3 linked regions of the Macaca fascicularis genome follow. The protein of the gene in region 1 interacts with the protein of each later gene in a pairwise test. Links are inferred from orthologs where the notes say so. Each region holds a gene or a part of one and is shown on either strand. Other genes may lie near its edges.

Region 1 (3,511 bases):
GGAGTTTAAGTCCAGCCTGGACTTAAAATAGCAAGACTCTGTCTTAAAAATAAAATAAAATAAAATTGAAAAAGAGCTGGAACCTGAACTCATTCATCTTCATAGCTACCCATGCTTAATATTCGGAATCCTGTCTTGCACATAGCCATCAAAATATTTGAGTTAATTTTTGAATAATGCTGTTTCCCAATTATTATAATGTTATTTTAAAAATCATTTAATTTTTAAATTTTTCTTTCAGACCAGAAACTAGAGAACAGTATCCAAATAAATTTATCCAGCGAGATGATACTGAAAGATTTTACATTCTGAACACACTATTCAACCTACCAGGTAGATTCATTCTATGCTTGTTTATACTGATGCTTTCCCTTCTGTGACCATTAGTCTCTGTTCAAGGGAGATAATGAAATAAGTTTGAATTATTTCATTATAGCTTATGAGTATCTGTTCTTCATTTTTCAGAGACCTACCTGTTGGCCTGCCTAGTAGATTTTTTTACTAATTGTCCCAGATATACCAGGTATGTACATACTATAATTTTTTTTTTTCCAATTGATTTTTTAAATTAATGCACAGGGTTTTAGAGAACTGGCCATTGTAGGTCTTTTCTGCTTTTCTAAAGTGAATTTAGTGCTAGTGAGAGATGCCACATTGCCAGCCTGAGAGATGGGACAGCACCAGCAGCTCCATGCAGGCTCTCACCTCCCACACGGCCCCTCTCCTTGCCAGTGTGCTGCAGCCACCACTTCTGATTGGCTTCTCCTGGGAATGAAGACGGCCAGCAGAGGTGCTAATTGTGACAACTGAGTGGGAGGTTTGTGTGATGATTATCTGTCCAAGCAGAATTACACTAAAACCCCCCAACTCATTTCACAGCAGCTACCCAGGAGCCATTCAGGGATGGTAATTTAATTTCATTTCCAGGCCCGGCAAGATTTGATTAAGGAATAAATACTGTGTATCTTACCAGAAGTAAAATTTTGCATAAGTCTTAAACAAGTTATCCTCTTCCTTTAGGGAGAATTATATAGCCAATACTGAAAGTTTAGCCAGAGTTGGCTAACTTCATATCCTCTTTGGGCTTTATCTACTTGAAGACACTAAATTTGGTGGAAAGCTGAGTCACTGAGCTAAATAAAAAATGGACAGTACCTTTGTACTTAGGGACAGTGTCAGAAAAGTCAGGGTGGAAAGAACCTAAATGACCAATTTTAAGTTTTAAATGTTTCTTCAACCTGTTTCTAAAACGTGATAAATAAACCTGATATTTTTTGAACTTTGGCCTTTTAGCTTACGTTCAATATATTCTTCCATCACTTTGTATTTGTTCACAATTATTGTATTCCGTTGAACACTATAGCCATTTCTGGTGGTCAAAGTGGACTTTCATTAGGGAGTAATTATTTTCCTCATTAGCCACAGCCTTTACCCATGTGATACGGAACCTTTGGGTCCCCTGGGAAATTTTTGACATATATTTTATTGCCCTGTTTTGGATCCCCTGTCATGTTCTTTTTATCTTTCTGTAGTTGTGAGACAGGATTTAAAGATGGGGACCTCTTCATGTCCTACCGGAGTATGTTCCAGGATGTAAGAGATGCTGTTGACTGGGTTCATTACAAGGTACCTAGAAGCTGCTGCTTCACCTGCTCGCTTTCTGGCATGTGTTTTATGGCCTGGCATTAACTTTCCAAATGGAGCAGAATATTTCCTTTTTTTAAAAAAAGACAAAATGGCCGGGCGCGGTGGCTCAAGCCTGTAATCCCAGCACTTTGGGAGGCCGAGACGGGCGGATCACAAGGTCAGGAGATCGAGACCATCCTGGCTAACACAGTGAAACCCCGTCTCTACTAAAAAATGCAAAGAAACTAGCCGGCGAGTTGGCAGGCGCCTGTGGTCCCAGCTACTCAGGAGGCTGAGGTAGGAGAATGGCGTGAACCCGGGAGGCGGAGCTTGCAGTGAGCTGAGATCCAGCCACTGCACTCCAGCCTGGGCGACAGAGCGAGACTCCGTCTCAAAAAAAAAAAAAAAAAAAAAAAAAAAAGACAAAATGGATTTGCCCCCTAGTGATAGCTCTCTAGAATACATATGTTCTTGTCTTTGGTCTTGGAGGTAATGTTGATCTTTCCTCAGCGATGGTGTTTGACTTCTGGATTTTATTTTAGTTTGCATTTCTCAAACGTAGAAGAGGTTTTAGTGTATTACATTATATTTAACATATCCTTTGTGGATGACAGTGGTCCATTTTTTTTTGTCCAGATACCTCCCACCTGACTACAAACATTAATTAATATTAAATTTACATTTATTATAAACTATTGAATAAAATATGAAATGCCTTTTAATTTCAAACTTGAAACTGTTTTATATTTTGAAGACAAATTTTAGAGGCAGGGTTGCAGCAAATCATACCTGCTACTTTTTTCTGGCCTTCTCTAGTTTGTCACTTTTCTATTTTGATAAATCCTTAAGAAATGCATTTGGGGCTGGACATGATGGCTCATGCCTGTAATCTCAGCACTTTGTGATGCCGAGGCAGGTGGATTGCTTGAGTTCAGGAGTTCAAGACTAGCCTGGGCAACATGACAAAACCCTGTCTCTACAAAAAATACAGAAAATTAGCCAGGTGTGTTGGTGTGGACCTGTGGTCCCAGCTACTTGGGAGGCTGAAGTGGGAGGATCACCTAAGCCTGGGGAGGTTGAGGCTGCAGTGAGCCGAGATTACACCACTGCACTCTAGCATGGGCAATAGGGTGACCTTGTCTCAAAAAAAGAAAGAATTTGGGTTGATTAGTAAACACCATTTTTCTTATAAACTACACGTTAAAAACTGATTTTGTTCTTTTCTTAATGCCTTTTTTTTTTCCTTCCCCTAGGGCTCCCTTAAGGAAAAGACAGTTGAAAATCTTGAGAAGTATGTAGTCAAAGATGTAAGTAATATAGGGGAAAATAGATCTGCATAATAGCTCATTTTACCTATTAGGGAAATGAATAACAAGCTGATTTATAATGAAATGGACAAAGGAAGAGATTTCTTTGTCTTGGTATAGTATGTGCCAGATATAATCACCAAGAATATTCAGCTAGAGCATAGGTCTTAGTATAGTTTTTCCATTTCTTGATAGGCAAGAAGACTCAGTATTTCATTTGTCCATTTAGCTTCAATTATAATAGCAGTTAGAGGTTTACTGTATACACATCACCATGCTAAGTGATTACATGCATTATGCCACTTAATCTTCTGTATGACCCTGAGTTAGGTATTATTGTTACCTCTGTTTTATAGATAACTGAGAAATAGAGGGATTAAATAACTTGCCAAAGGTCACACGTTAGTAAGTAGTAAAGCTGAGTCATACCCAGATTATAACTACTACACTAGATCATCTCAAAAATGTGCATATATGTTACCGTTATTTAAAATGCCTTATTACAGAGAGTAATAAGGAAAGCTTTAAAATACCTTAAAAGGCAATATTGGGAAACCTGATAAAATTTTTTAAAAATT
Region 2 (4,250 bases), on another chromosome or scaffold:
GTACTGACTTGGGCAAAGAATGTGAATGTTATTTATTCTATTCCAAACTACCTGAAAATATTCTTTCTGTTCCTAATTTGCAGAAGATAACATCTTAAGGGACACTGAAACTTGTGCGTGTATGAGTATAACACATGATGGGGGCCCTTGAGCTCATGAGGGAGGGGCTACATGTGTGTGGGGTGAGAAGTATGCTGGAAAGAATGACAGGTGGTGACGCTGGAGCACTTACCATGTGACAGGTGTTACCCTAAGCATGTTGTATGTATTCCTTCATTGAATACCTGTATTATCCTTATTTTATAAGATGAGGTAACAGAGCTTCAGAAAGGTTAGACTCAGCTACTATGGGTCTGTCTGACTCTGATGTTCATCCTCTTAAAAACTGGGGCAGTTTGGAAATGAGATTCCTCGGTGATGAACAGAAATATTGCTTAGGGGCTATGTTTTTGTATCTGGCAGTTTTCTCATATTCGAGTCTTATATTCACAATCGATATCTTTACATTACACAAATGACACAGAATTAGAGTCATTTAATCCAGGGTTGATATCACTAAGTCATGACTATTTATTAAATGTTTCTTAAAATATCTGAGATGACTTGATATTGCAAAAGATTTAAGTGATTTTAGAAGTTCTCACTTCGTAGTTAGTTGCAGAAACCTCTTTTGGAGGAGGGATGTTTTCTCCATATATCTTAATTTCTACTTAATGTATTTCCACACCGCTTTGAAGTGTGTAGTAAGAATGGTAAAATGCAGTACTTCGTCATTTGGTACACTTCAACCAATATGCACTAAGATGTGATCATATGGGGAATAGAAAAATGTGAAAGACCCAATTCTTTTTCTGCAGAAGGCAGGAAGCTCATATTTGATTACTGTTACTATGAACTATAAAGACGTTTTAAATGTAGTTTACCCGTAACCATCACCCTGCAAGGGTGATATTGCTCCCCGCCAATTTACGGAGGAGAATACCGAGGCTTTAAGGTTGTAGACAGACCAAGACCACACAAGTAGAGAGTGGCGGGCTGTGGGTTGGACTTTAAAATCTATGTTCATCCATAACTCCCAGTGTGCTCTAGTAAATCCGCTAAAATCCGAGTATTTTCCAATGATTGATGCTCCGCTCTGTGTCAGGCAGTTCGTGGTATCTTTCAACAATCAGAAAATTCTGGGGAAGGCAAACCGTTTCCCCCTCTCTAGGTGCCTTGAAAGTGGCCGTGGTAGACCCACAGATCATCCTTTCTGATCTGACACCTTCTTCACTGCCCTGGCCCGCGAGTCAGTGTCTTTTCTGCAAGGCTGGAAGCCCCCTTAGGACTGGTCATGTCCCATCTCTTTCCGGAGGGAAGATGATCCCAAAGACGACTTTTCTCCCCACGGAGCTGCCATTCCGCAGGCGGCCGCCAGGGGTCCCCGCTCGGCGTCCCCGCGAGACGGTCGAGCCCCGGCCGGCTGCGCGGCGCGCTGGGTGCATGTGGGGGCTGCTCCGGAGCGGCGGCGGCTGCCTCTGGAGCCAGGCTCTCGCCTGTCCGCCGGTTGGCTCGCTGGGACCGCGCGCACCGGCCGCAGAGTCCCTTGAGTGGATTGGGAAGCGACGCCCCACCTGCCCCGAGCTCACCATTTTCCTCTCGCGCTGGCTGCAGCTGACCCGGCGAAGGAAACCGACCGGGCCCTGGGCTGGAGGTAAAACCCCACGGTGAGTAAGAACCCGCTCCAAGCGAGGGGAGGCGGCGCAGCCCGGTGGCTGTTCGCCCCCGACCTCACCCAGGCGGGCGGCGAGGTGCGGGGCGCACCTGAGCGCGTGTGCAAGAAGGTGCGGGAGGCGGCCGACCGGCCCGCTGCCGGCCGGCCGCGGGCTTCCGGGGCTGGAGTCTGCTTCAGACCCCTGCCGGCGCCTGGGCTTCTGGCCGGCTCCTTGTGTGCACTTCCCGGCAGGAACTAGGGTCGCCCACTTTCCACCCCGGGATCCGTGGCCTTGATTTGAAAAGATATAAATCAATAAGATCGTCCTTCTTTCGGGGTGCAAGTCTCCGAGCCCATCCCCAGCCGCGGACGCATGCAGGGTGCGTGTTGGGCTGTGGGTGGCGGGAAGACAAACTTTTACAAAAGTGCTCCCGGGCTGGGGGACAACGCTTGGGCGTCCTGATCCTGAGGGAGGAGTCTCGGCTTGGGGCAGCGTCGGGGAACTCCACGCTGTAAGCCAGGTCGCCCCCGGGGCTGACAATGCCTCATGGAGGTGGGGAGCGTGTAAAGGCCATACAAATCGCTCTTAACTTTGGGGCCAACAACTGTCAAACATCTGGAATCCCAGCCCTCCCTTTCCCTGAACTGGGGAAGAAGGTGAAAACCCTTCCACTTTTCTTTGATTGCCCCTTGCCACCTTCAGACCCCTGCTGGGAGGGTAAAGCGCAGACCCCTGGCGCCTGACAAGTACCAGAGACCCTAAATCTCTCGGATTCCCCCTCGCCCTCTTTCCTGACCCTTTCCCCTAACCCTCCCCGCAGGGACCTAGCGACGCAGCCGACTGAGATCGTGGCGAATGGCCTTTTGTTTCTCCGCGTTTCGCCTATTGTTTGCCTTTCCAACATCTGGCAGGGCTTGGGGAGAGAAGGAAGCCCCTCTGGTCCTCCTCCCCGGCCCCCATGCCAGCTCCGGCAGGGGATCCCAGCTGGGGAAGCGGAGGAGCCCGACCCCAGCGAGGCCGCCCCACCCCGCCCTTGTGGTTAGAGGGCGGAGGGAAAGTTGTTCCTTCCCCGCCTCCGCTGCTGCCTGTGGCCCGGGGCGCATTTCTCAGATCTCAACCCAGGCGCGCCGCAAAGGGCGCAAATCCGAGAAGGTGCTGCTTTCGAGACAGTGGAATCGTGTTCCGCCCCAATCCAAAGTGTCCCGTGGTTGGTTCCAGAGGATTTCAATCTCTAGCCAAAGGCGTTGGGGCTGGGCTGCTGCTAGGGCAGTGGGAGGGGATCGGGGCACCTTTGATAGGCAGAAAGCTGAGATTCTCGAGTCCACAAGTTTCCAAGGGCGGGAGGGCAGGCTAGTCGCCAAAGAGAGAACGGAGATGCAAATAACGAGGAAGCCTCCTGACGTTGCCTGGAAATAGTGGTGTGGTGGTTCACTCCGGAATGAACGTGGAGTTCTGGCTTTGAGTACCGCTCCAAGTTTAAATCTCAAGTACCCTTTCTGCATTGTAGAAAAAGAGGACTCAGAGGACGCAGCGCAGATACGGCCAGAGCACAGTTCCTCTTCCACGTTCCCGCGAACAAGTGGCTTAGGATGGCCCTGAGTACCCTGTGGGTGCGCTTGCTGGGTTGCAGGCGCCCCTGTTTCCCTGCACAAGTTAGATGCTTATGCATTGTGTTCATTCTTAGTGTGGATTATTGATTAAAGAACTGGGGCAAAAGCAAAGTAGCTACTCTGAGAAGGCAGGGTCCCCAGATGGTGCCCAGCAAGTTGTCTTGCCTCTGAGGGGAGGCTGACTGGGACTGCACCTGTTGCAACCTATACCTCCCCATAGCCTTGCAGTTGACCTGCTGTTGCCAGCTTTTCCTGTGGGATCCCCAGTCAGTCCCTCTTCCAAGGAAGCTCGATTACACTTTTGATTCCTCCTCAACCCAGGGGAAGAAGGAGGCTTCTTAGGAACATTATGATCCATGTACCCACTCAGACATTTTCAGTGGATACCGGAAGCTTGGCTCTGTTTAGTTCCGAGAGTTTTCCCTTTGCCAACTCAACAGGACTTTTGAGTTTCCATTTAACAAAACAGAAGTGAGACTGCTAAGCCAGGAATGTGACACATAGAGCACTTTCTATAGTGATTTCTGGATATTATATCTCTTTACCTTCCCAACGGTGGAACCAGTAAGAGATAAACAGCACCATCTTTGAAGTACTGAAAGGCACTTTACAAACATTTCATTATGAAAATGAACCCCAAGGAAAGATTCCTTTGAAATTTAGGAGCAGCAACCCAGAAGCAACAAAAAAGACCATAGTTACTCAAGAAGTACCCAAAGGTATCATTAACAAGGTAAAAGAGCATTTCTTGTCTTGGCCTACCCACTAAGGAAAACAGGGTAATTATAATGGAAGTTAAGCTTGTACTGTTTCTTTTAGAATTAAAAATTCCCCCAAAAATCATTATAGGAAAAATAGAAAATACTGATAGGTGAAAATGAATATTAAAGGGGTAGATATTATAAACAAGGTTCCAGTGAACAATCTTATCTATCTGTTTCCTTGG
Region 3 (4,058 bases), on another chromosome or scaffold:
AGATTGGTCTTGATATATTTTTCAGGCTTCTGCATTCTGGCAAACCTCCTGATGCCACCCAGATACATGACTCATACCAAGAAACTGACTCTACTAGTCCTATGACTCTCACCTAGACAACTGACTCAGCACAGGAAGACAGTTTGGAAACACCTATAAATTCATCCCCAACCAATCAGCAGCACCCACTCCCTACCCACCTGCCCACAAAATTATCCCTAAAAACCACAACCTCCAAGCTGTCAGAGAGGTGGATTTTAGAAATATCTCCTATCCTGCCACTCAGCTGCCTTGCCTCCATTAAACTCTTTCTCTGCTGCAACTCCTGCATTCTCGATGTTTGGCCTTTCTGGGAAGCGGGCAAGAAGAACACGTTGGCCTGTAACAGGAGAATAAATAAGAGTTTGGCAAGCAACAAGAGGGTGCAGGTATTCTGTGCAGAAGGAATTGCAAGTGCAAAGTAGAAAGAGGAGGCATACTACCAGTTTGAAGTTGCTTGGTATGTTCAATGAAAAGCAAGTAGCTAAAAGGCAAGATAATTTTTTATAAAAAAAAAAAAAAAAAAGGTATGGAAAAGGAAAGGCAAAAGCTAGACAGAGAAGTGCTTGTTCATGGAGGAATTTGTGTGCCACTCTAGACATTTTACTGTAGGAAATGGGGATTCTAGAGTTTTAAGGAGGTGAGTAAATCAACAGGCTGGGTTTTTAAAAATTCCTTCTTGTGGCAGAGAAAATAATGGATTGGAGAATTTCCAGACCAGACTGTAAAAGTCACTATTAAAATAATCAAGAAATGAGGAGATGACAAACTAAAATTTGATCTAGTGACCAACTGAATATGGGAGAAATAGGAAAGGGAGGAATGTAGGATAACTCTGATTTCTAGTTTAGGTTACAATATAGTAGTAGCAGTATTTAACTTGGTGAAAATAGGAGAAACCAGGAGGAAAGATAGCAAGTTCAGTTTTGGTCATATTAAGTTTGAGGGACCTTTGAGACAGATGTGTCCGGGAAGCAACTGAGTTAGGCATTAGTAGATCTGAGAGAAAAATTGAAATTTAGAAGCAAAATCAAAGGTGTTAATAGAATCCATGTGAGTGGACAAAATCACCCAAGGAAAATGTCTAGACTAAGAAATGAAAGTAATTAAGGAGTGAATTCCAAAGAATGACATTCAAAAACCAGGCACAGCCAGTAAAAGGAATTAATGACTATGAACCTCAGTTGTCACAAACAGACTAAGCGATATAAATTTTGAGAAGTAATTACTGTATTTGGCATTTAAAAGGCCTTTAGAAACTTAAGCAAGAACAACTTTCTTGAAGGCATTAAAGAAGCCAGACAAAAGACTTTTGTCTGTTTGATATAAGTAAAAATAATATCCTTTCAATAAGTTTACTGATAGATAGGAGGACTGGGAAATAACTGGATAAACACAGGATGGATGACATGGTTTTGCTTTATTTAATTTTCATAAGATGTGTGACTTGAGCACTGAGTAGAAGGAACTGAAGAGGAAGAGGCTGAAAGCACAGGAAAGAAAAAAGACAACTGGAAGCGAAATGTAACAGATGGAAGCAAATGAGATCAAAAGCAAAGATGGATGGATTATCCTTTAATATCCCTTTCTCTACACTAGAAATACAAGACTAAAGGCTTGGCAAAAATATAGATCAGTGTGTAGGTTGGGGGCATGAGGTTGAAGAATTGTTATACTCCATCATGTTTAGAAAGGAGAAATGAGAAGGGCAAAAGACAGGGTTTATAAATGGAAGGTTTGAAAATGTCTTTACAGAAAATGGGGCAGGGGAAAACTGGGGTAACCAAAAGGATTGCTGAGTAGTATGAAGAAACAAGGGGTGATGGGTGGGGGCTCTGTTTCTAAATTCGTAGCTATAACTATCTAAAGATCTTTCTATCTTCCAGTCCATTATCCATAAGTGCTTAAAAGACACGATAGTTAAGTGAATTAACTAGAACCCTGGTACTCTCAAACATGTGGGTGAATTAAAATCACCTACAGGTTTATTTAAAATGCAAATACCAAGCCCCATTCCTTTCATTCAGAATTTCCAGGGGTGAAGTCCAAACAGTGAATTGCAGAAGCTCTCCAAGCAATCCCAGGAGAAATTTCTGTTTAAAAAAAAAAAAAAAGAAAGAAAAAAAGAAGAAGAAGAAGAAAGAAAAGAAAAGCAAGCACAGACCTAGAAGGTAAGCAACTGGACAGACGAGAGCTGATCCAACATACATCTGTTAATGGCCCTCGTGGGGGCGTGGGGCAGTGCTCTGCCACTCAGAAAAGCAAAAGGACTCCAAGATCTAGGGAGATTCAGATCAGTGTTGAGACAGTCACATACACACCACCCCACACTCTTAATAAAGCGCGTTAATGTGAATCTGTGAGCATGAAAAATGCCACGATGAACAATGAAAACACATAATGTTGTTCAAAACAGGTGATTAGACTCGATGCCTTACCCTGAATTTTCTGTTTCATTACTCTAGAGACTTAGTAGCATCAGTGGAATTCAGGGTGCTGTAAGAAATACGGAGAGCGAGTAAACTGCAGTAACAGCCCATGGGAAGGGGGAAAGAGATAATGAGGAGAAGGTCGGGAGGACAGGACAACTTTAAGTGCCCATCCGCCCGAAGACTTGGAACGCTAAGTAGCTAGGACCCACAGCCGTTATTCTGACATCCCCTGGCACTCACCATTGTCTCAGGATCTCAGCACTAGAAAATAGGTATCGTTGAGACAGGAAGACACCACCACCAACACCATCATCCGGTTACTCAGGCAACAGAGCACCGCCCACTGTCGCACGGTGCGTGGGACGCCACCGCCCCACCTCTTCGTCCTTAGTGGCTGGGAGTAATCTCAGCTGCGTTCATCCAATCGACAGGCCCGCCCCTCCACGCTGTCGCCTGGGGCTACGAGACGCCGTTTTTCTGTTTCCGGCAGTTTTACTTCCGTTTGTTTAACAGCTGGCCCGGAAGTTTAAGTGAATCTGAGGCTTGGGCTCCAAAAGTTGCTGTACAGTATTTTATTTTAAAGTAGACATCTGTCCGCTTTCCACTTACGGAGGCCTTACAGTGTGTGTTCTGTGTTACTTGAGTTTAAACGCACTGCAGAATGTATTTACCCTTCTCTTTTGGAAACGTATTCCGGAAGCGAAACCCTGAGTAATCGGAAGTGGTTAGGAGTGAGAGAGCTCCTGGATATGTGGAGGGCCTGGGCGGGCCGGCTTCTGAATGGAAGAGGTCTGTGAGAAGTTAGCCTGGTGATACCGATCCGAAGAGCCTATGAAGTGAAGTCCCCTGAAATACGGAGAATAAGAATCTTACAGGTAAATCCGAGGACAAGCAGGTATAACTAAGGATGTTGGAAAGGGACGGAGGTCTGGCTGGAGCTTGGTGGCCAGTAGCTTTGGATTTAGGGAACGATTGTTGTTCCGGGAAGGCTTTTTCAGACAGGAATGGAACTTCGGTTTCGACTTCCCGGGACAGCAAAGGTTGACAGACTTGTCGCTTCCCGGCCTATCGCTCTCATACCTGCTCACTCCCCCTACTTACTTCTTCACCCCCTCACCTTCATTTGGCATTTGCCAGCACGCACTCGGTGTGCCTGTATGTTTCGCAGAGCAACTATCAAGGGCAGTTTCAGGGATCGTTACTCTTACGAAGGGTTTTTTGGATACCTCTTTTCGGAGCAATAGACTGTAGTGTAGAAAAGTTTGTGACTGTTAAGAAAGTTAGTCGTCGGGTTCACTAATTGAACTGAGTTGTATCTAGTACTGAGAGCGATCTTTTTTTGTAGTGACACCAGTTGTCATCTAGTGTACAGTTTGTCATATTTATATCATTGCAGTAGCATCACCTTTTTATATGTTTTCTAGTAAATCTGAGTCTGTACTGTAGGCAGTGTGTACATTTCTGAAAGCATGTGCTCAATATATGTTTCTCTTTTTACTTTTGGAGCTACACTATTTTAACTTTATTACCAAAAAAATATGAATTATGTTATCTTGAGTAATATTTTTTCTCGTTCGTTACACATCT

What was found.
Region 2: the proteins of NT5C2 (region 1) and MOB3B interact in binary tests that used the Homo sapiens proteins (3 or more experiments, as listed by UniProt). The two-hybrid records come from large-scale screens. The link is inferred for Macaca fascicularis from reciprocal best matches to the Homo sapiens genes NT5C2 and MOB3B.
Region 3: the proteins of NT5C2 (region 1) and NME7 interact in binary tests that used the Homo sapiens proteins (3 or more experiments, as listed by UniProt). The two-hybrid records come from large-scale screens. The link is inferred for Macaca fascicularis from reciprocal best matches to the Homo sapiens genes NT5C2 and NME7.

Annotation. Positions count from the first base shown.
Region 1 is NC_088383.1:112,136,635-112,140,145, reverse strand, and holds part of NT5C2 (cytosolic purine 5'-nucleotidase), read left to right. Parts: intron 1-241; coding exon 242-333; intron 334-465; coding exon 466-523; intron 524-1,532; coding exon 1,533-1,626; intron 1,627-2,879; coding exon 2,880-2,933; intron 2,934-3,511. UniProt on the Homo sapiens protein: Broad specificity cytosolic 5'-nucleotidase that catalyzes the dephosphorylation of 6-hydroxypurine nucleoside 5'-monophosphates.
Region 2 is NC_088389.1:71,440,899-71,445,148, forward strand, and holds the start of MOB3B (MOB kinase activator 3B), read left to right. Parts: upstream 1-1,449; 5' UTR 1,450-1,706; intron 1,707-4,250. UniProt on the Homo sapiens protein: Modulates LATS1 expression in the Hippo signaling pathway which plays a pivotal role in organ size control and tumor suppression by restricting proliferation and promoting apoptosis.
Region 3 is NC_088375.1:26,996,339-27,000,396, forward strand, and holds the start of NME7 (nucleoside diphosphate kinase homolog 7), read right to left. Parts: upstream 2,802-4,058; 5' UTR 2,715-2,801; coding exon 2,712-2,714; intron 2,536-2,711; exon of another isoform or gene 2,478-2,535; intron 1-2,477. UniProt on the Homo sapiens protein: Possesses an intrinsic kinase activity. Displays 3'-5' exonuclease activity with a preference for single-stranded DNA. Does not seem to have nucleoside diphosphate kinase activity.